Struthio camelus: one gene and its partners. The protein of the gene in region 1 interacts with the protein of each later gene in a pairwise test. Links are inferred from orthologs where the notes say so. Each region holds a gene or a part of one and is shown in the gene's direction. Other genes may lie near its edges. The genes, in order: AHCYL1, GEM and CDKN2C.

The links.
Region 2: the proteins of AHCYL1 (region 1) and GEM interact in binary tests that used the Homo sapiens proteins (3 or more experiments, as listed by UniProt). The two-hybrid records come from large-scale screens. The link is inferred for Struthio camelus from reciprocal best matches to the Homo sapiens genes AHCYL1 and GEM.
Region 3: the proteins of AHCYL1 (region 1) and CDKN2C interact in binary tests that used the Homo sapiens proteins (3 or more experiments, as listed by UniProt). The two-hybrid records come from large-scale screens. The link is inferred for Struthio camelus from reciprocal best matches to the Homo sapiens genes AHCYL1 and CDKN2C.

The regions. Positions count from the first base shown.
Region 1 is NC_090965.1:4,283,125-4,290,936, forward strand, and holds the start of AHCYL1 (S-adenosylhomocysteine hydrolase-like protein 1), read left to right. Parts: upstream 1-4,811; 5' UTR 4,812-4,826; coding exon 4,827-5,096; intron 5,097-6,063; exon of another isoform or gene 6,064-6,181; coding exon of another isoform or gene 6,182-6,259; intron 6,260-7,812. UniProt on the Homo sapiens protein: Multifaceted cellular regulator which coordinates several essential cellular functions including regulation of epithelial HCO3(-) and fluid secretion, mRNA processing and DNA replication.
Region 2 is NC_090943.1:149,190,597-149,198,033, forward strand, and holds the start of GEM (GTP-binding protein GEM), read left to right. Parts: upstream 1-4,345; 5' UTR 4,346-4,493; intron 4,494-6,477; 5' UTR 6,478-6,486; coding exon 6,487-6,817; intron 6,818-7,437. UniProt on the Homo sapiens protein: Could be a regulatory protein, possibly participating in receptor-mediated signal transduction at the plasma membrane. Has guanine nucleotide-binding activity but undetectable intrinsic GTPase activity.
Region 3 is NC_090949.1:30,975,679-30,983,728, forward strand, and holds the start of CDKN2C (cyclin-dependent kinase 4 inhibitor C), read left to right. Parts: upstream 1-4,987; 5' UTR 4,988-5,133; intron 5,134-5,490; 5' UTR 5,491-5,502; coding exon 5,503-5,631; intron 5,632-8,050. UniProt on the Homo sapiens protein: Interacts strongly with CDK6, weakly with CDK4. Inhibits cell growth and proliferation with a correlated dependence on endogenous retinoblastoma protein RB.

The DNA.
Region 1 (7,812 bases):
CTGCTGTGTGCACCGGTTGCACGTGTGTGTGTTGCTATGTGTGTGGTTGTGCGTGCTGCTGTGTGCACCAGTTGTGTGTGCATGGTGCTGTGCGTGGGGTTGTGCGTGCCACTGTGCGCACCGGTTGTGTGTGCATGGTGCTGTGCATGTGGTTGTGCGTGCTGCTGTGTGCACCGGTTGTGTGTGTGTGTGTGTGTGTTGCTATGTGTGCGGTTGTGCGTGCTGCTGTGTGCACCGGTTGCACATGTGTGTGTTGCTATGTGTGCGGTTGTGCGTGCTGCTGTGTGCGCCGGTTGTGTGTGTGTGTGTGCGCACTGCTACGCGCGTGTGTGTGCGTGTGTCCCCGCGTGCCCCGGCTGTGTGTGCGTGTCCCCGTGTCACCGGGCGCGTGTCCCCGCGTGTCCCCGCTGCCCCGCCTGCCGCCCGTCCGTTGGTTTGCGCTCCTCTTCCCGCGTCGGTTGCAATCTCTTTTCCCGGTTCCCCGTTTCCCTCCCGCCTCACCCCAAACCCGGCTCCCTCCCGCCGCCAGGGGGCGCCGCCGCGCCGCCGCCCGGCCCCGGCGTGCGGCTTCGCTGCCAGGCGGCTGCGTGCTGACGTCAGGGCGCGCTGACGTCGCGGCGGCGGGCAGCTCCGCCCCTGGCGCCGAGCGCGGCGGCTGCAGGTCCGCGCCGCAGAGTGGTCGGAGCCGGCGGCACCGGAGCGGGCCGGGCCGGGCCGGGTCGAGCCGAGCCGAGCCGAGCCGGGCCGGGCCGGGCCGGGCCCAGCGCTGTGCCCCTCCCCGCCCCTCCGCTCCGCGCCCGGCGCCGCTCGCGGCCCCGGCCCGCCTCGCCGCCGCAGGATGTCGGTACCGGACTCGGCCGGCGGCGACGAGGTGAAGCAGGCCAAGGAGATCGAGGACGCCGAGAAGTACTCCTTCATGGCCACCGTCACCAAGGCGCCCAAGAAGGTACCGGCGGGCAGCATCGGGGCCGGCCCGGTTCGGGGCGGGGGGGAGCGGGGTCCGTGGCGGGCCGGGGCCGGTTCGGGGCCGGGGAGCGGGGTCCGTGGCGGGCCGGGGCCGGTTCGGGGCCGGGGAGCGGGGGCCGTGGCGGGCCGGGGCCGGGGAGGGGAGGATGGGTAGCAGGGTCTGTCGCGGGCCGGGGAGCGGGGTCTGTCCTGGTTCATGGGGGAGCAGGGCCAGGGCTTTCCCAGTTCAAGGTGGCCAGGCCATGGTGCTGGCCCACTTCTTAGGGGGGCTGGACTGGGAAACAGGGGGCTGGTCCAGTTGGGAAGAGGGTACTGGGAAAGGGGCACCTAGTGCAGCTTGAGGGTTTTGGAAAGAGGGACCTGACCCCATTCAACAGGGGAGAGAGAAGCAGGTACCAGGTTCAGAGGGGGCTGCTACCAGGAAACCATGTTTGGCCCCATTTGGGGCTCAGCTGGTACCAGAAAGGGGCTCTTGGCCCAGTTTGAGGGGGGCAGACTCGGTGCTGAGGGGCCTGTACTGGGATACGGCCCTGGCCCAGTTTGGGTCAGGGGAGGTGCTGATGGGGGACCGGTACCAGCGGCGTGGGGAGCCGTGGCCCGGTGTGGCGTGGCCTCATCTGGAAGGTGCTGGGGTCAGCCCTGGTAGGGCAGCTGGTACCAGGGTGAGGGCAGCACCAATGGGTCCTGTTCAGCACCGTGGAGCTGGGCTGGCTGAATCGAGGGAGGAGCAGAGGGGCTGGTTTGGTGGGGTCCTGGGCACCCCACGGCGTGAGGGTGCCTCGAGGGTGTCCCCAGGGCAGGAGTGCAGGTGGAAGGGGGCTGGGGGGACCCATTAAATGGAGCGAGCTGGCTGCGGTGACCTGGGGATCCTCCTGTAGGTCACCCTGAAGGGCAGCAATAGGAAATTCAGAGCATTGAACTTTTGGGGACGGGGCGCTTCGTTGGAGGCTTGGGTGGGATCATGTTTGGGCTGGGACAGAGGCTGCCAGAGCAGCCCCCAGCTCTGAGCTCTCCCACGTCGCTTCTTCACCCTTTCATCCTTAAAGACCTTCTCCAAGGAGTTCCCAAAATCTCCCTGGGCTGCCCCCCAGCCAACAGCAGCCCTGCTTGCATAACCGTCAGCGTGCACCCGGATGGGGCTTGCGAGCAGGTGAGCTCTGCCTGCGAAGTCGGATGGCTGTTTTAGCAGGACCCGGCTTTTAGATCGGCTGGTGCTTGGCCGGCCGAGAGCGAGCGGACGCCTGCGTGCCGTTGCCTAGCTGGGCGCCGAGCTTCACTAACGGGCCGCTGAAGTCGCGGCTCCTGCCAGCGCGGTGGATTTGTGCCGCGAGGCGCCGCGCGGGTACCCGGAGGTCCCTGCCGTGCCGAACATTGCGTTCTCCCCGGGGCTGCAGCCGCGTGCCTCGGAGCTGGGAGCCGAGGGCAGAGCAGTCGCAGCGAATGCAAATGTCTTCCTTCTCCGGGCGATGCGTCTTTTGCTCCGGCGAGCCGTGGGATTAGGGGAGCGGTAGGCCCTTGTGGAAAGGCCGCTGACAGTCGGCTGCGTTTGGGTTCTCTCTCCTCGTCCCGGCTTTCGGGCTGGCGCGCGGCCGCCAGGGAGCGGAGGGCCTGGTGGGTCTCCCTGCGCCTTGCGTGTGTTTATCCGGCCTGTGGACGTCGCCTGGAGCAAGGAGCAGAGGAATGCGGAGCTGGGATCTGCCTCTTCCCAGAGGTGGCTCGGCGGCACAGCCAGACATGGCTCAAACTCGGGCGATTTTTTTTTTCTTTCCTTTTTATCGTCAACATCTTCCACAAGAGCTGTTTAGTTAAAAGCGCGAGTCTATGGCTGTGTGAACATTACCAGCCAGGTGATTTGAGAAGGAAGAGCGAACTACTACTGCTCAAGTATCTTACAGGGCCAAAATACAAGTAGCAGAAGGGAAAGCAACGTGCGTGTGGAGAGGGAATCAGTCCAGCACCCTCATGGGCTTTGCTCGTATCTGTGGGGATAAGGGGTGTTGCATTACCCCCTTGAAGTTGCTGTGCTTACAGGCTTGTTTCACAGCCGAAGAGCAACCATCAGACTGTGGCTGCTGCAGCCTTTCCCGTCTGGGTGATGCTATTAAAGGTGCCCAGAGCAACGCAAGTTGTTTGAGGTTGATAACATCAGCAGGCAGTGCGATCTTGGGGAGTGCGCGATGCAGCTGAGGTCAAGGAACAAAACGCTTTGGGCCGCTGTTTTCCTTGCCTGGCTAGTTACTGTGAATAGCGCTCAGTCAGTGCGGCGGCCTTGGCAGGGGAACGAAAGGACGAGGAGGGGAGAACTGCCCTCCTGAGATAAGCTGCTGAGTGCCCCCAGCACAAGGCGTTTTCCTATGTCTTCAAAGCAGGATCACCGTGAAACCCTTAAAATGCTCTTTTTGTTTAAATGTGAGTCAAAGTGACTTGCGCACTTGCTGTGTTTCTGTCTTTGAAGCACTCCGCGCGGTCAGAGATGGTCGAGACAGATTAGTTTACCTGCGTGGAGGTAGAGGGAATCGCGGAGCGCTGTTGAAGCAGCGTCCCGGCTCGGTGTTTGGTTCCTTGAACTTTGGCGATGTAGTTTGCATAAGGCTTTGGAGATGGAGGGAACGCGTCCAAGGTTAGCGCAGGCTCGGCTCCTTTGTGTGCCCTGCTCAATAGCTTTTCAAAGAAGAGCCTTAACTTGTGTCAGCGCTTGCAGAAAGTGCCAGTGCGCTGCAGAGGAGCTGGCGCGAGGAGCCCGTGAGTGTCCCGTGTTCGGCGCCGGGGAGCTGATGCTGTGGTTTCCCGAAGTCAGAGCCCAGCTCGGCCCTAGAGGAAGGTCTCCGATGTAGCCGGAGGGCACGCTGGCCCCGTGCGTCCTCTGAAGAAGTCACCGTGCTCCTGGCCTTTGCTACACTGCCCTGGAGGCACCTGGAGCGATCCTGTGAGCTACGTAACCAGCCCGGGGGATCTCTGACATATTTATTTTCCCTCTTGTCATTGACTTGGTTAAGGTGAAAAAGTGAAACAGCAGGAGGTAAGAGATTAAGAGATTAAACGCGATCAACTCCGGGTTTAAGTAGGAGCCAAAGTAGTTGAGGGGAAGAGAGCTGTAGCCTTTCTGCAGAAATGTGGTCAGTTTTCCTCCAGGAGTTGGGGTTGTCTGGCTGTGCCGAAGCTCCCTTTTTGCTGCAGTTTACTGGAAATTGGGCTGTCAGCAAAATAACACCAGCTTTGGTCAGAGTGAGGCGGTTCCTTGGCAGAGAGTGGTTTGAAGGCAGAGGTGAGCGATATTGAGCCTTTTACTTTCTCCAGTGTGTGCCTAGATGTTGCTGGGGGATTTTGGAAACCAGCAATTTTGGGGTGCCTTGCCCAGGGAGAAGTGAATATGGGTTCGTCTAAGCAGGGAAAGGAGAGCTCAAGGGCAGGGTGTGCTCTTCTAGATCCCCGGGTCCCATCACCAGTGCATCTGGGCATCGGTTCTTCTGTCTCCCTGGAGTTCTGGAGGTGCCCTTGGATTTGGAAAGCAACTGCTGTCAAATCAGCCGGTCAGCGGAGCCTTTAAACTCCCGGCCGAGCTGAGCTACGTGTGCCCTAGAGCGGGGCGCGATGTGACACTGTGCCTAGAGACTGATGGCAGAGCAAAGGGGCTTTACAAGCCCTGTCCCTGTCTGTCACTGTGCCCGAGCCGGGCTGTACCCTTGTCGCGTGGCGTCCGCTGTCCCGTGAGATTGGATGACGGTGTCAAAGCAGAGGGAGCGCGCAATGTCTGTCCGGACTGTGGTCCCCTGGTGCGTGCCCCCCTCCTCGCCTGCTCCTTCGCACCTGGGTGCCGGCAGACGGACGTGCTCCGGCTCTGCACACCGATCTGCTTATTCATGCAGCAGAGCTGGAGCGTGAAATGGGCTCCAGCCTCTAATTTGCCCTCGGGGAGGCGTAAGCTTCGCGGCACCCCCGTGTGCCTCGCGAAGCCGGCAAGCCCGTCGCCTGCGTTTCAGTATGGTTCGCGGCCGGGGGCCAAACGGCGCGGGCTCTGCGGGTTTGGTCGCCGCGACCCTGCGGATGCTGGCGTCAGAGGAGCCCCGCTGAGGCTGTGTGCTGGCGGTGCAGAGGAGAATGCTAATGCACCGTGCTGCGGCTTTGCAGTGGTACCGAGCCGGAGCCGCGTGCTGGCGGATGCAGGGGTGGCACGAGATGGGAGCAGGGGAAGGGGACGGGGCAGGGAAAAGCTGGGGAGCTGACAGGAGGATTGCCATCCTCTGGAAAGGGCTTGCCGCCTTCCCCAAAGCATCATCTCTGCTGCTGCTTTTTAAGGTCGCCTGCATGAGCTGCACTCTCGCTGCCTGAGCAGTGTCTGACCTTGCTGCAGTCTGCTCTGTCCCTGCTCCTTGCACAGCCCCTTCCTGGAGCTGGGCTTTCTGCCTTTTTTTTCTTAGTCCCAGGTTGTCTCAGGTCTCTGCGGTTCTGCTCTCTCAGGCAGGGTGCTAATGAGTCTATCTTTGCCTTAGATCTGTCAGGAGGACAAGGTTGTCCTTGTTTATTCTGACAGAGCTTCTAGAGTTGCTTATTTTTTTCTCTTTTTTATTTCATCCCTTAAGCGGACAGACTGCTTGTAAATCTTCCTCTGCCTTTGGGTGCTTGTCCCACCATCTCCTTGCTTGGTTGCTTAGTGGTGCATGTGATTGTCACCTCCTTACCCAAATCCTCTATGGTATTTTGATTTCTCACCCTCTTCTCGTCTCCCTGCAGGTTTTCCTTTTGACAATGAGCTGCTTAGGCTGGGATGTTGTTAAGGGATCATTCTGCTCTTCACACACCATCTGGGATAGATCTGGCCTTTCTTGGGGTGCAAAAAGGCAGTAATATGTGAACGCATTGCTGCGGTTAGATGATCAGCTCAAGCCTGACCTGATTGTATCCCTAACCCATGGCGAGTGCAACCCACAAGGGTGTTTTGAGCTAAGATGATTTACTTTGCAATTGCTGGGCGCTGGAAGCAGACAGGTCATTGGTGGTGCTGTGTTAAATGACCAAATCTTAATTATTTATGTTTTAAGTCATTCTTCCCCTTGGGTCCTTCTCAGCACTCTGACTTCTTGGAGAGTCTCGCTGCTGTCAGTAAGGGAGGTCTGTCCCTGTGACCCAGCCCTGCTGCAAGACCAAAAGATGCTGATTTAAGTTCTCCTTGAACTGAAGAGCAGGAAGAAAGGAGCTTTTGGGGATCTGACCGAAAATGAGCCATCTTCAAAATGACGTGCCATGGCAAATGGTTTTTTGCATCTCTGTTCTCCTCCTCCTGCAGTCGCATGAGGTAGGCTCGGTTTCCACTCTGATGTCTGGTCTTTGGAGATAGGAAAGGAGTTGGCTACTCATTCCCTGTAGTCTTCAGAAGCAGCTCTTGTCTTGTTTTAGTGGTGCCAGCTGCAGTTGTGTGGGAGTTGGGGTCAGCCCATCTGAACAGTGCTGGTTGTCCTACTTGCCCCATTCCATTTCCAGTCTGGGCTTTGAGATTTCTTGGTGGAAATCTCCTTTCCATGTGAGCCGCCAGGTCTGGAGCATGGGAAGTGGGCTGATGACAGAAGAGTGGTGTTTTCTTGAGGCCTTTCCCAAAATGTGAGATTGTCTTGTGCCAGGGACCAGCCTATAACAATACTTTCTTTGGGACCCTGACAGTTTTCACCATTCTTCTTTTCCAGCCTGTGCAAATGTTGGAGTCTGTTCTGTGCTCCCTGCTACAGGTTGTGCTTTGAGGTTGGTTTTTTTGCTCTGGAAAAAGCCCTTCAGGGCTGGGTTGGAGTTGACCCTTTCAGATAACTGGTTGGCTAAACAGAGAGCTTTGCAGGTGAGGATCTTACTCATGTGGTTCCTCCAAGGGGTCGGCAAGTGGATTGTCCCAGGTGTTTGAGCAAGAGGAAGAGTGGGACTTGCCTGCTCTGAGCAGCACTCAGTGGAGGAGGCTTGCTTGTGCCTGACTGTGTTTTTATCATTAGGAGTTTCCTGTGGCGACGTTCCCGTTTGCAGAAGGCTTGTTGCGTTTCCTGTGGAGCTCTTTGATTAGCGCTGCTTATCTGGGGACTCTGACTCACGTTCACTGAGCAGATTGTGGTGACGTTTGAGGTGACTGTGCTAGAGCCTGCTGCTGGTGCCGTAGAGCAATGGGTGCAAAGGACCTTGAGCTAATGCTTCTGCAATTTATAACCGCTTGGCCCGATCCCCCTTTATCAGTGAGTTAAGGGACCGGATTGGATCAGTGGAAGGCTGGGTCCAGCGTAGGAAGGTCAGGGAGTCCTGCAGAGGAGAGTTGGTGAGGAGGACCATCTTGTTATCACCGCGGTGGGGTACTCCAGAGCCCCTCCATCAAAGCCCTCTACAGTATCTGAACGGCTCTGTCCCACGATTTGGGTCATGTTTATATCTTGACCATCTCCCTTTGATTCAGCCTGTTTTGCACCATACCCCTTTAACCTTGGGCTGAACGTCATCACGACATGCTCCCCCAATGTGGTTAACCCTCAACGGGGCAGGACATGGGGAATGGGTGCTTTTGGATGTCTCAGTGGGTGGTGCAAGCAGAGGGCTGCCGTTTGGGGTGTTTTCTGAGCAGCCCAGGAGGCTGAGGCTGGTGTGTGTCTGGTCTCCTCCCTCGCTGACCCCGGGGGCTCCCTGCCTCTGGGAAAGCGGGACGCGGAAGCTGTGGCTATTCATGCCCTTGGGAGGCCGCCCCGCTTGCCCTGTCGTACTGGGCTGCTTGAACTGTGAATTTTAATTACATTTTGGGATCAATACGGTGGCCTTGGTAACGAGCTTATTGCTGCTGCAGAATCTGTTTACTTCAGGTTGGTGACAGCCAAAGAACTTAGGTGG
Region 2 (7,437 bases), on another chromosome or scaffold:
CTAGCTCACTCCTCCTGATTTCAGATTACTTTCTCTCCCCTTACCTCCCCTGCTAGGCGTGCAACTTCTTACTCAGTCACTGAGTGTGAAGCAGGAAAGCCAAAGGCAACGCTATGGATACAAGCTGATGTAAATAAGTTTTTGGTCCCATTGCTATGGGTCTAATTGTTACTCTGCAATGTTGTGTAAAAAGCCGTCGCCCTGAGTTTTAATATTGCTCCAAATGGCCGCACTGAGCGTTCCTGTGCTTTATGACAGCACCTGGCCTTATGCTTGTCTCTTCTCATGCCTGTATCTCAGGCAGTTTTAGTTACAGAACCATTGACCAGCAAAGAGTGCAGGAAGATAGAGCTGCCAGAGCCACATGTGCATCCATCAGTCTATTGGCTTCTATTTGGAAATTTAAGCCTATAATCAGCCTTATTGAGAAGGGCTCCATTCATATGCCTCATTAGTCATCCTGCTATTATCCTTTGTAAGTACCAGCAGGCTTAGGATGCTGCACATTTCCCCTGCTTAAAAAAAAAGTAAAAAAAAAAAAATTCTCCACAGTTACAAGGATTGGAATTCATGGGTACTGATGACATTACCTGAGGACTGACTGATATCTTTGTTATAGGAGGAAAGGAGGCATATTGTAGTTTAGAACAGGCATGGAGAGTTAATTGTCAAGTCGGCAAAACTGGAAATAGGCTCAGAAAAGAAAACACAAGGGAAAATATGTGTGCAAGTTTCCCAAATACAAGCCCTTCATGTCATAGCTGGGACAATCCCTGTGGACCGTCTTATAGAAGAGATACATTGTGTGATCACTAGAAAACCATGTTTCGTTTGTCTGCCTTGAATTTTATGAAGAATTTATGCAAGATGATGTCTAGCAATTCCTGATCTAAGACTAACCATAATGAAACACAAGTGCTTTTGTGCTTTGGTTTATTTCTACTGTCTGTGCTTTCTACTATGATATAAGTTAATCATTTAGGTGAGACGTTAGAGCCCACAGTTCTGCTTAGATCAATCTGACTATAAATCTCTCCATTCCCATGGTAGATATGTTTTGCTTTTTTATATGTAGTGACAAATTACCGACAAGTTAAAGAGAACTAAATGGATGCAAGATGCAGAACACAGTACTCCAGTAACGCTGTCACCTTCATGATGGAACAGCTCATCCTGGAGGTCATCACTAAGCACATGGAGGACAAGAAGGTGATCAGGAGTAGTCAGCATGGATTGACGAAAGGGAAATCATGCTTGACCCATCTGATAGCCTTCTCTGATGGCATGACTGGCTGGGGAGATGAGGGCAGAGCAGTGGATGTTGTCTCCCTGGACTTCAGCAAGGCTTTGGACACTGTCTCCCGTCACATCCTCGTAGGTAAGCTGAGGAAGTGTGGGTTAGATGAGTGGACGGTGAGGTGGATTGAGAACTGGCTGGATGGCCGAGCTCAGAGGGTTGTGGTCAGTGGCGCAGAGTCAAGTTGGAGGCCTGTAGCTAGCAGTGTCCCCCGGGGGTCAGTGCTGGGTCCAGTCTTGTTCAACTTATTCATCAGTGACCTGGAGGAAGGGACAGAGTGCACCCTCAGCGAGTTTGCTGAGGATACTAAACTGGGGGGAGTGGCTGACCCACCAGAAGGCTGTGCTGCCATTGAGAGGGACCTGGACAGGCTGGAGAGCTGGGCGGAGAGGAACCTCCTGAAGCTGCACAAAGGCAAGCGCAGGCTCCTGCGCCTGGGGAGGAATAACCCCATGCCCCAGTACAGGTTGGGGGCTGACCTGCTGGCAAGCAGCTCTGCCGAGAAGGACCTGGGAGTGCTGGTGGACAACAAGTTGATCGTGAGGCAGCAGTGTGGCCTTGTGGCCAAGAAGGCCAATGGTCTCCTGGGGAGCACGAGGCAGAGTGTTGCCAGGAGGTGGAGGGAGGTGATCCCGCCCCTCTCCTCAGCCCTGGGGAGGCCTCCCCTGGAGTGCTGTGTCCAATTCTGGGCTCCCCAGCTCAAGAGAGACATGGCACTACTGGAGAGAGTGCAGCGGAGGGCTACAAAGAGGATGAGGGGACTGGAGCATCTCTCCTATGAGGCCAGGCTGAGGGAGCTGGGCCTGTTTAGCCCGGGGAAGTGAAGACTGAGGGGAGGATCTCATCAAGGTGTACAAGTATGTGAAGGGAGGGTGTCAAGAGGATGGGGCCAGTCTCTTCTCCGTGGTGCCCAGTGACAGGACAAGAGGCCACGGGCAGAAACTGAAGCACAGGCAGTTCCATCTGAACCTGAGGAAAAACTTCTTGACTGTGAGGGTGACAGAGCCCTGGCACAGGTTGCCCAGAGAGGTGGTGGAGTCTCCTTCCCTGGGGATATTCAAAACCTGCCTGGACGCGATCCTGTGCAATGTGCTCTAGAGGACCCTGCTTGAGCAGGGAGGTTGGACTAGATGATCTCCAGAGGTCCCTTCCAGCCTTGGCCGTTCTGTGATTCTGTGATTTCCAGCACATTGCAAAAACGAGCAACGCTGAAAGTGAAGCTGAGTATGCAGGCAGCAAAAGAGTGAAGTGTTCCTCCTAGAAACTGCTGGCCATGCCATAAAGGTAACACTAAACTCTCCCTGACAGAGGTTTTGCTGGGTTTTGCCATGCTGTACAGAGCTGTTGCATATGTGCTGCGCAGAGGATGAGCTGTTTTGTGTTCTTTGAGGTGACCACATGGCAACAGACTCAGAGCCTGCTGTGCTAAGGACCGGTGAGTGGGGACGCAGGATCTGCGGCCAGCTCAGCTACTGCCAAGCAGTAAGTTTTGTCTGAGTACTCTGTTAGTAGATATGAATAATTTCCATGTATGTTAATATGAGCATATACTTTGGAAAAGCAATATGCTCGTACTTGGACATGGTCTCTATTGGGCTCTCATCTCTTTAGGCTTGAGAATAGGCTCAGAAGGTGCCTGAAAATCCCCAAGAAAGACACAGGAATGCAAGAAAGGCAAAGGGGAAACAAGACGAGCATATTTCCAATGCAGAATTTGTGAAAGGTCTATGTTTTCACAGGAAAACAAGTCGGTTTACAGGTTTTAATCAAAGCATAAAAATGTAGAGGTATGTGAAATAAGTGCTAGACACCAAACAGTACTAGACATTCTTTTCTGCATATCACTGTTCTCTTTAATAAAGATATATGGTTAATTAAAGGCTTACTTGTCTGTAACTGAAAAGAATGGGGTCATGAAAAAAAAAATTCTTATCCCTGTTCAGAAATGGATCAAGTTGTTCAAACTAAAGTGCAACATAAAAATTACAGTCACACGTTGATTTTAGGGGACAACAGACTAACCAGGAGATTGTAAATATAAAGGAAAATTTTCTGAGCTTGTTTTTGAGCTCATCATAGATAACGCAGAATTTAGATAATTGAGGGCTGACTATAGAGTTTCCATATACTTTTATATAACTTGTGGCATCCTTACCAAGCAGTTCATTTTTCATCTGTTAATCGAGAAGTACCTTCTCTATGTTGTTAGGAGTGTCCCCCAGTGGCACAGTATTACAGTTTTTTTCCTCCTGGCAGAATTTCTTGTGCCAATGACATTTGAGCTTGTTAAAATTTAAGGAGCAGGCCCTTGTTTTGCGCCACGTACACTATATATTCATCTTTCCTAATAAACTATGGACTGCATAAGCACTATGCTACTCTGACTTTGTGCTTGTTAATGCTGATACATCTATGCCACTGTCAAGCTGGAGCAACACAGAATTTGTGGTCTGCTGTTTTTTTTAAACCTTTGCTAGTAAAGGGTTACAGCAGAAGCGAGAGCTGATTATGAGATTCAGAAAACTGCATGCAGTGACTTGGAGGCTAAGAGAAGCAGGAAAAATAGGATCTTATGTATTAGAACTTCTTTTTCAGAAAAAAATAGAATAATCCTCCTGCTTTTAAGATATCTTCAAAATAACATTATGATATTTTATTCCAAAGAAACATTTATCCACCAGATAGTCAGTTGCTTTTTGCAGAGAGACAACATAACACTTTTGCAGCATTTTATGCATTAATAAAGCTTATGCCATTTTTTAAACATCATCAATTTTAATAGCACTTGACTGAAAAACTGAGTGATGATGAAACAGCACATATAATTTTTTTTTTGCACTTTCCTGTCTTCATCTTGTGAGAACCAAACATGTTTATTTTACTGGCAACATTAGGGGAATCATATGGTTTCAAGGAAAGCTTTTGAGATTGTTTGTAAGTTTTTGCTCCTCTGCGTGTCCGCTTCCTCCCAGCTGGGGGCTGGCTGTTGTATGGAAAGGCCAAACACGTCACGGAAAAGCCCTGTCTCTGATCAGATGGGCTTAATATAAACCAGGTTTGCTGAGAGCGAATTAAAGAGGCAGCCCATAAGTAGAAGAGGATTTGCTTTGGCAGACCAGTTCAGTGTATCACACTCCACTGAGAGAGAAGGGCAGGGAGAGCAAAGGACCTGACTGCGGGGAAGAGCCCGTCAAAAGTAAGGCAGTGTTGGCTGAAATGCATTGGTCCAAATGCAGTATTTTACTATAAGTAAATGACAGACCAAATAGCTAATGCTAAATGCAGTTTGTGGTATGAAAAATAATTTGAAGTGGGAATGCTATGTGCAGTAGTGAGTTATAAGACTTTCTCTTGTTTGGATTTGTTTAATGAAGGATGATAATTTGTTAAGGGAAAAAATATAAAATATTTATGATTTGGACTATTTATTGATTGACTGTTAACTGAAGATAGTGATTTAGTGATTGTTCATTGTTTGACTGGATTAGAGGTGGCTTTTCTCATGCATTGTTTCAGAGGGGAAACTACAAGAAAAAAATGGATTTTAAAATTAAAGTACTGGAAAAACTTCACTTTGTTTGTGAAGCAGTCTTCGTTTGGTGCGAGGTTTCTAGTTACGTATGCTTTTTCCTGGCAAAGTTACTATGACTAGACTATGCATATGATCTAATCTTGCCACAAAGTACTGTGCGTCACAGTGAAAATATCACATAAGTTGGAATAAGTTTAGTTAGAGTGTGCTCTTTCTGCCTATTTGTTCTATGACCTGCTGCACATTTATTCTAAGAAGTTTTCATAAAGTTTTATGTGGATAGGAAAAACAATTTGTATATGTCTTTTTGATGTGTTGCTGCAATTATTTTCATTCACTAGTTCTTATTCAAAATATTCAAAATTTGTTATTGAAAGTGGTCTGATGCGTTGTGCAGACAGATATGCTGTTTATTAATATAGAGAAGAGAGCTAAGAAACATCAGACATATGCTAAAATGTAAAATATCTAAATAACTGTCACTTTGGAAACTGGAATATATCAAAGGATCTTTCCTAAAAATGGTAGCTGTTAGCCTGTGAAAATGACATCACTGCACTCTGCTTCCAACCAAGGCAAAATAGAGTTTGCAAAGTAAAATGTAATTAAGAGCCATGCATAGATAAGGTGAGCTAACTAGCTGTGTAAGATGAACAAACGTTCTTAGATAATGTGAATGAGCAGCTTTTGTGGTAAATTAATTTATTGACTTACTATCTGTAACTTTATGAGCTTTTACTCTCAGTGATACCTTCTTTAGAGGTCAGATTCAGTATCTCCTCAGAAAAGCCACTGGACTTGGTTGCATCCTCACTTTTACCAGCCAAAATGCTACTCTGTGCGATAGCTATTTTTTATTTGTCCTGCTATAGCTGAGATCAAAATCTATTCAAAATACATTATAACAAGACTTGCTTGCATCATTTGTTTCCAGCATGAGGGCTGTCTAGCACGTTTTACTTTCCCAAAAGATTAAACTTTTAACTGAGGCAATGGGAGCGATATTGCAAGCAAAATAGGATTTATTTTGTGACTGTGTTTTGGTGTGCACGGCTGACATTGCTGGAGGAACCAGCCTGTCTATGCCAGGAGAATGTAGGGAATGGGGCGCAGCCGTGGGGTGCGCCCGTGCTCACCCTTTACACCCACTGGAGTGGAACTGGAGGTGACTGCGGCTGGTCCCTCTGCCCACAGTTGCGCATGAAGGGTGGGGACTGGCACCTACAGGGTCCCATCAGCTGCCTCACTGAGGATGCAGCTGTATGCAGGCTCCCAGGCATGACAGCGCTGGCAGATGTTGCCCCTTTGCTCTCCTCCTGGGACATAGCAATGCTGCAGTATCTCCAGGGCTGCGCTGCACCTAGTACAGCAGTGAGCCTGCAACAGCTAAGCAAAGCACAAAGCTGGGATTTAGCATGTGACAGTGGTATTGTCCCTAGGATGAAAGCTGCAGCTCTGACTCACTAACTAGAAATTTCTTTGTGTACCAGCAGCAACAAAGAAGTGCAGAAAGCCTCTTTTTTTGTTGTTGTTGTATAGTCCAGCTCTTCTGTAGGGTTCTACATACTGTCCTGAGGTTGGGAAGAGGGTGTTAACGCATTTCTAATGCTTTGTGGGTGATGTTTGTCGTTTCCACGTTTCTCACCAGGGGTAAAAAATGACCCTCAACAATGTTACCATGCGTCGCACCAACAACAGTGGCTTGCAGCAGCAGCAGCGATGGAGCATCCCTGCTGATGGAAAGCACCCGCTGGTCCAGAAGGACTCCAATGAATACAATGCACAGAAACGATACACCATCAGTCCTGACGATTACTACAGAAGGAGCTGGTCCTCGGAGTCGTCTGACTCCGTCATCTCCTCTGAATCCAGCAGCAATTGCTACCGGGTGGTGCTGATCGGGGAACACGGTGTAGGCAAGTCGTCGCTGGCCAACATCTTTGCAGGGGTACATGACAGCATTGACAGCGACTGTGAGGTGCTAGGAGGTAGGTCATGATGGCCTGGGGCGCTTGTTTACTTGAGGGCAGCCCTGTCAGTAGCAATGGCATTAAGGCACAGAAAATTAGCAAGACCATTTAACCTGAAACTGAGGTAACCAACACTTGGGTCTGATCATCAAAATTGATTCCAACACATCTATCTCTCTTAAGAAAACAAGCAAAAAAAATTAGATACGAGGACTAAGGTCCTCACTAATGAGGATCTAAAGCCTCTGCAAGGCAGCAATGTAGCTTCTCATGCTATTTCATTTTAAAATACCTGTTGGAAGCTGCTATGTTCCTGCCTGTGCCTGTGTTATAGGGAAAGGCTGGTTCAGCTCTCACACATATGTCCAAAATATGTCACCACTGGCTCCACAGGGTCAATTCCTACTTTCTGTGCGGGACAGAAAAAAAAAAAAAAAGAAGATGCCCTTGTTTTATTAGAATGTAATGCTTAAAAATAATATATAATGAAAAATACCCCCTCCCCATCCAGTTCTTTGATCACCTCCAAAATATTTGCCGTTAGAAGTCGTGCATAAATATATTGCCTCAGCATAGGCTGTTTGGAGTGTGAGTAAAATATGTCTCCTCCTCATTTCGTGTTACTTGTGCAGCATGGC
Region 3 (8,050 bases), on another chromosome or scaffold:
CGCTTTGCGGCTGACACGTGACCAGCCTCCTGTCAAGCGCTCGCGAAGCCGGGGGAAGGGGCGGGGCGGCGCCTTTCCGGCCGCGCGCGCCCCCGGCCGCCGCCGCCGTCGCTCCCGCTCCCGCTGACGGGGCGCGCGCGCGCGCGCGCGGGGGGAGCGCCGCGGCGGGGCGGCCGGAGGCGCTGCTTTCCGGGGAGCCGCTCTGTGCCAGCGGGGCCGGCCCTGGCGGGGCGGGACGGGGCGGGGGGGGGGCTCCCTCCGCGCCCGGCCCCTGCGCGGGCCCATCCCGAGCGGCCCCCGGCGACGGAGGCGCGGAGCGGCGGGGGGGAGGGGGGGAAAGGGGGAACGTCCCCCCTCGAGGGGGCGGTGACAACGCCGCGGCGCGGGGGGAGGCGGCGCGGGGCGGGGGGGGGGGAGCAGCGGGTGGGGCTGGGGCTGGCGGCCGCCCCCCCGGGCTGCAGCGCGGCTCCGGGAGGCGCCTGCAAACGCCGCGGCGGGCGCGTCCCAGCGCGGTTTGCACTTGCTGCGACGGCGCATGACTTCCTGCAAAACCTCCTTTTTTTTTTTTTTGGACCGGGGGCGGGGCGGCTCCGCGAAACGGTGAATTTCGCCCTCTCTGTACTTCCCTCGGAAAGAGTCCGAGCCGTTTTCTGAGCCGACGGAGAGTAACGTGCGCGACGACCCCTCGCTGCCGCTGGCCGCGCGGGGTGCCGCGGCCGGGGCCGCCGCGCTGCGCTAGCGCGGAAGGGCCGGCGAGAAGGAACGCTGCTGGGGGCTGCCTGCCGCCGCGCCCTGCCGCCCGCCCCCTCGCCGCTGGCGTTGAACACGGAACGCTCGCGCTTTCGGACAGCAATTTGCTAATTAGCCCAACACGTTTTGTTCGGCCCTTTGTATATGTTCGGTGGGTGTCCCGGTTACCTAAGGCCAGAAAGGGATTAAGCACCTTTCTTCTTAGTGAAAGCTAAGGGAGCTACGTTATGATATACTCCCTGTGAATCAGGTTATTTTCCCCTCTTTAAGAAACGTAGTTCTCCATTGTTTTTTTCCCCCCTCTACTCGCCTTCGTGAGGCTTATACACGAGTTTTTCAGTCGGTGTACTTCCTGCTGACTACTGTAATTATAGCAACAGGGTGCCAAATAAAAGGGAGACCTGCGGGAAAAAGAAGCACAACTGCACATCACAGCAGAATCCATTAAAAAAAGGGAGCGTGACTTAGGGAGAGACAGCAAATAAACACCGCATGCACGTTACATACAGTAGATGGGTACAAAAAATGTTAAATTGCACCTTCAAGACAGTCCATTTCCCCCAAAAGAATGCTGTAGGTATGGAATTATCTAAAGCTTGCTGCTGAATGCTATTGAGGGCTGTGATCTTCACGATGCATTCGGGTTGCTTCTGGTGGCTGGATAATCACTCCGAATTTCAAGGTGGATTAAAGCTATACTAAAACTCCACTAGTGATGCAAAGCCAGATAAGTTGGATATTATATTGTATCGTATTCCTGCGTTAGTTTATGTTGGCAAGGTTGTGCAAGAGACCTTTATCACTCGCTCATGTTAGCTTAACAGTTCGAGTTTCCCACCACCGAATATATGGATGATAATGTAATTGCTTTCACACCTGCTTTTCTCAGTTTGATGTTACATACAATTCTGTAATATGTACAAGGTATGGTGCAATGCCAGTGACAGCCTATACTAAATTACGAACAAATCCACCCACGCATTACTTGAGAGTAAGTATCATAAAGGCTGAAAAGCAAGTTTTATAAATTGGATTGAAGCCAATTAATTCCTGGCACGAATTTAAACTAAAGTTACGTTGTCAAGGTTAGTTACATAGTGTTCACGTCTACTAAAGTAATATTTTAAATCATAATAGGTATATTAGATCAAAAAAGGAAGCAATTGAACCACAATGTGAAGAAAAGGTGAAAAGTTAACATACCGTACATCACAGGAAGTTCATGTTAAAGTCACAGTGAAAGTTTCTATTATTCTTTTCACAACTCATAACTTCGACATACTCCTCTATGTCTTTTTTCTCCTACAAGTATTACAAAATTATAGAGGGTAAAGTGGGTACTTGCTGACATGACTCATTGCAATGTCCGGTGATAGTATCTCCCTGCAGAAGGTGTTTCAGCCGCTGATTTTGATTCTGACTGAGGTTACACTTTCTGTTTTATGAGGGGTATCTTGATGATTGTTAAAAGGAAGTGACCATAATTCGTGATCATAATATCATGCTTTTTTCTGCAAAGCTCTTTGAAGGACATTAGAAGCAAGTATGATGAAGAATGTTTGATGGCTTTTTCTGGCTGGGCAATTTTACTCGCAGAAGGCCTGCAGCATCCCAGCTACAGTTTAGTTAATTATTTTTGTTATGTAACATGATTAACAGAAGATGGACGCTTCCTTTTTAACTGTAAAACAAAAAAAAAGTAGTAGGGTAGTGTTGCAAGACTTTTAGGACTAATTCTGCACTAAATTAGCAACGAGTAATACCACCAAAACCTTTAGATTTTAGGTACTGATTAGTCACAAAATAGGTCCTTTAAAAGCCGACTGATTCAATATTCTAAGTATTGTATATTAATGCCTTCCTTATGCAAAAAAGTAACTATATTTAAATATATGTATTTCTATATACTTCTATTTCTAGAGTTAACTTCGAGGGGAGTTATAATTCGTATCTTTGTTTACAAAATTCAGCAGTATTGCTTGTGACCGAGAATTATGATAATAAGGCCCTAAAAGTTTCTTCCTTTCTTTCTTTTTTGCATGTGTGGGGCACTTGATAATTTGAGCACAGCTGGATTCTCTGCTTTTTGTGTAGCCAGCTCATAGCTTTTCCCCACGGTGTTTTCACAAACAAGGGGGTCAGCACAGAGAAATGTGACTGCGAAGCAACAAGCTAATCAAAACTTACAGGAGAGTCAGACGCATAAGTAATACCTACTGCTAACTTCCTTTAACTATTTAGATTGCAGGTTGGTCCCTGTAAAACTGGTTATGTCTCTCGCAGTCGTAATTGTAAATCAGGCCCGCGACACGTGCTGTCTCTGCCTTCATGTCCATGGCAGGTTTCTGGGACGGAACTGGGGCGGTGTTTTATGAGCTGATATTATTGTCAAACAGGTTCCCTCCCTGAATTGGCTCATACATGTTTACATTCAAACTAACTTTTCCGTGGTGTCTACACGGACAGCTACAACTGACAGATTACGTATGCTGCCTGGGGAGCCGTGACATTGAAGCCGCGGTGTAACTCGCCTCCCAGGCTGTTAACTATTGCAGAATTCAGCTTTTTCGAGGTCCCCTGAAACTTAAAGCAATTCAGCAAGTCAAGCATTTCAAAGCATTAAATGATGTTAGTCAGAACGGTAATAAAATCTCCATACTGTACCGTCGTTACTTCTTTTCCCTTTGAAGCAGTGAATCCCTCACGTCTTCCTTGTAGTTACGTGCCTTTTCCCCTCAAAATGGCCCTTTCAAATTAACCAAGAACATCAGAAACACGAACAGCAAAGATTTCTGTTCTGCATTCTCGCCTCTCACAGCTACCGCGACTTGACATTGGCCCTTCATCCGTGACCTTGTCCCTGCGGAGCAGAGCCAGCACCGCGGCAGGACCGGACCCTGCCCGGGAAGCCGCCGCCTCCGCGGTGCCGGGCCGGGGCCGCTGCGGGCAGGTGGGCACCGCTCGGCCGCGAGCCCGCGGGACCCCGGGGCGGCGGCGCTGGGTGCCGGGGGAGCGGCGGGGCGCGCTGCCCGCGGCGGCTCGGCCCTCCGCGCTGGCGCAGCGGCTCCGGGCGCTCAAGCGCTCCCGCTTTAGGCCTCGGCAGCGGAGCCTCTGAACCAGCGACCTGGCGACTGCGGCGGCGGCGGGCACGTCCCTGCCCTGCCCGGTCCGCCAAGCGGGGGGAGCCCCGCACGGCGCGGGCCCCGCCGCCGCCCGGCGCGCAGCGTGCGCGGGACCGGAGCCGGGACCGGAGCCGGGGCCTGCGCGGCGGGGCCGGGCGAGGGGCGGGCGCCGTGCAGGCCTTCCTGCCCGCCCGCCGGCCGCGCCGCAACTCCGCCGCGCCTCCTTAAATCTCTGCCGTTAAAATGTGGGCGGGTGTTTCAACTCAAAAAGCGCTCAAATTTTTTTTCTTTTCAAAAAAAGCTGATGAGGTTAAAAAAAAAAGGGGGAAAGAAAAAAAAAAAAAAGAAACCGGCTTCGTGTCCGTAGGAAACAGAAGTAGAGATTGTTTGTGCTTAAAAAAGGGGGAGCGTAAAGTCGCGGGCGGAGGCAGCGATTGCAGACCGGCAAGTGCAGCTTTATTTTGCAAAGTTGAAAGAAAAGGAAAGCCGCTGCTGTCACTGCGCGCCGGAGGCTGCGAGCCGAGGGGCCGGCGGCGGCACAGCTGGTTGGCGGCAGCCGGGGTGCCGCGCTGCCCGGGCCGCCCGCGCCCGCGCGGCTGCTGCGCGGGCTGCGGCTGCCCCGGCGCAGCCTTTGCCCTCCGGGCGCTCCCGGGAGCCGGTCCGCCTCCTCCTCCTCCTCGCCCGCTGCTCGCACACACCGCTCCCCTTCCTCGGCGCGGCCAGCGCGCTCGGGACGGCGGCAGCGAGAGAGGCACCACCACACCGGGGAGCGCCGAGCCGCCCAGCGGAGCGCCGAGCGCCGGCCGCGGGGCCCGGCCGCGCCGCGGAGACGGCTGCGCGCCGGCGGCGCCGCGGCGGCTCCGCGCCCTGAGCGCGGGCGGCGGCATGCGGCTGCCTCTGCGCCGCCGCCGCCGCCAGGCCGCCGCCGCCGCCCGCGGCCCCGCCGGCCTCCTGGATGCGCCGGAGCCGCCGCCGCCGCCGCCCGCCACCGCGCCCGCCCGCTGCGCCCGGGCTCCGCCAGGACGCGGGATCGACGCTGCTGCGCGAAGCCAGGAGCGCCGGGGCCGCCGCGCCGAGGGAGCGAGCGCTGCGGCCGGCCCCGCCGCCGCCCGCCGGCCCCGCCGCCGCCCCGCGCGGCTCGCCCTGGAGGCGGCCGTGCCGGCTGCCAGGGGGCATCCCCCCGGGCATGGACGCGCGCCGCTAGAGAAGACTTTTCTTCGGAGCTGTTGCTGCTAAGTCTCGCATCCCGACTGTGAACAGGGTGGGTTGTTTTCTTCTTCAAAGATTTCAGGGCTGACTCAGGCTCCAGGGTACGTGTATATATGTTACATATAACATATATCATATATTTCATAGCTTTTAATATATTTCCCTTTAAACTGGCCAAAGTCTTTAATAGGAGTTACTCTATATGTGGAAGCGAAGAAATCTTCTTTCAAGTGGAGCTGCAGTTTTGCTGAATAATCACGTGTGAGTTAGGGGCGGGCTCTTGGCAAGGAGTTTTTTTACGAGTATTTACTACAAGGTCTACTCCAGAAGATTAACCATCCCAATCCTTCTGTCAGTCTCCGATGCCATGCCTGGTTAAAAAAAAATCTCATCTTTTTCCGATCGTCAGTCACCCTAAAGAATGGCCGAGCCTTCTGGGAACGAGCTGGCGTCCGCGGCTGCCAAGGGGGACCTAGTGCAACTTACTAATTTGTTGCAAAAGAATGTAAACGTCAATGCACAAAATGGATTTGGGAGGACTGCGCTGCAGGTTGGTATCCAGAGAGGGAGAAAATATTTCATCACTGCTACCTACGTGACCCGGGTTTCCAAAAAGACAACGTTTTAAACAGGCTGGTGGACGAAATTCGAGTGTTTTTTAAAGTAGTTGGATGCCATATTTTATAACTTTAGTGGCTCCAACTCCCTAAAATGACGTACTTGAAATAAAACTGGTCAAAACCATTATTTCAGTCGGGGATCACCCTCAATGTCAAACGGGCTACAAGTTTAATAATATTTTGTAACTTAGTGGGGAGGAGGCAAAGAATGGAAGAGAGGAGATGAAAAGAAATCATCTTAGGTGAGCAGGATTTCAGAGCAGGTCTGTAAACACATCTGTGTTACTATTTGAAGCTTAGAGTTATTTTTTGTTCCCCCTATAGTATGCTGTTAAAACATTGCTTTTCTCGATTATTAGTTCTGCGGTAGATGGTACTTTTCCTTTATACGCTGTTTGTGACGAATGACCTTTCTCATTTCGAAGCTGCTACACAGAATCGAGTACCTTAGATGTACATTCATAGCTAGCCGAATGAGTTACAGCTCAGTCTGAATCACTTGCCTTTTCATTCATAATTAAGGCTTAAATATTTGAATTTTTAGATCGGATGGCAAGGCATTGCTTCCAGCTATTTCATTTCTGATCGTATAGGGTCCTCTGTCCTAATTTTTAAGTGGGTAGCTGTGCAGACAGGATTTGGAACTCATCCAGCTGCTAACTATTGGAGCTGATGAAAGATTTCTCTTTTCATAATATCAGATAATGATGGCGAAAATGGTAGAATGCATACAAAATAGTGAAATAAGTGATTTATAAATCAGGAGGAAATGTGTGGTTATTTATATACTTAAGGGAATGTAAAGAAATGTGGAAGTAGAGCTGTGGGACTTTTTAATTTCACACATTAGAAAAATCGTTTCTATTAACTCCTCTCTCCCCCTCCCCCGAAACCACGATATTCATTTCTGAAATTTTGTTTTCAAAAAGCATGTAGCTTGCGAATGCGCTCGAGATATTTACAGGTTTTTGGCTTACCATCAAAATGTTAGACCTCGAAAATAAGCACCTCTTGTTGTAAAGCAGTACTGACCCTTGTTTGACAATTTCACCTAAACTCGAGAGCTGTAAGATTATCTTTGCACTGTTATCACCTAAATAGGACATCGTATGACAGTGCAGACACTCGCAGCAACTTTTAGGAGCAGGGAAGGATTTAAATTAGAAACTTGTACAAACTAACTTTTTTTAAAAAGCAGGAAACATTTAGCTAGATGCTTTATCCTCCAGACGGGGGCTGAAAACCGAATGGTACTACAGTAATGTATTTTGCTAAAAGAAACTAAACGTCCGTGCCCTAAATTAAGGAATATTTTACACAAGGACAGAGCATTCAGCTATATTAAACACGCATCTGTGTACTAACAATACTTTTTATTGCAGCCTAATCATAACTGAGTTAAGGAACCGCAAACAAAAATCAAAACAGAAGAATCTGTCTACTTATTTTCACTATGTATCATCCTGAAATGTGTTGTGGGTGGGTGACCACGCTCGAAAGGGTTCTCTGTCAATACAACCTCCAAAATCGAGATAATCTCTCAATAATCTCTCTCTCACTCACAACAGAGAGAATGCTTATTTGTTAATTCAAATTAATATCTAATTTTCTTCTGGATTTATGTTTAATTGGACAAGTGCTTGTCTTCCTCTGTACTTTTTTTTTTCTGATGAAGTGTACCTATGCAGGCCTCAAATGCAAGTCCTGCCCTTACGCTCTTCATCAGACTTATTCAATAAATACTTTCTCCTTCTTTGCCTCCCCCAGCCAAGTGAAACTTTTCAAAATAAAGGGCATTTGCGGTATAGTTGTATCCCACGTCCAAATAGCATCACCTTTTATAAGGTTTTCTCCCCCCCCCCCCGCATCTTTAAATTAAGCCTTCAGTCCCCAAACCTGCCTTCCTTGAACACATAAGTGGCAGTTGCCACTTGAACCAAATACATGTTTTGAATACACAAATAATACAGCCTGGGCCCTCAAAAAGAGACAAAAATGTCTAGATTTATCAAAGAAAGAGAGAGCACAATGCTTTTATTTTCCTTTACATCGCTTACACCTCTTTTCAGAATTGAAAAAATGGCACATAAACATGCACGAAATATTGTGCCCCAGATAAATGTCTTTCCCTGAATCCCATCCTGTCTTATCTGTAGTTTTATTCCTGTCTGTAGATGCAATATAATGGGCTACTTTACATTCTAAATGCTACAGTAATTATATTTACTATAGGTGTGTCTTTATTACAAAGCCTAATACATATTTTTCATTGAGAACAGTATTTCAGCAAATGCCTTGTGCAAATTACACATGTTAAATATAATGCACTGTAATGCTCTTTGTGCTGAT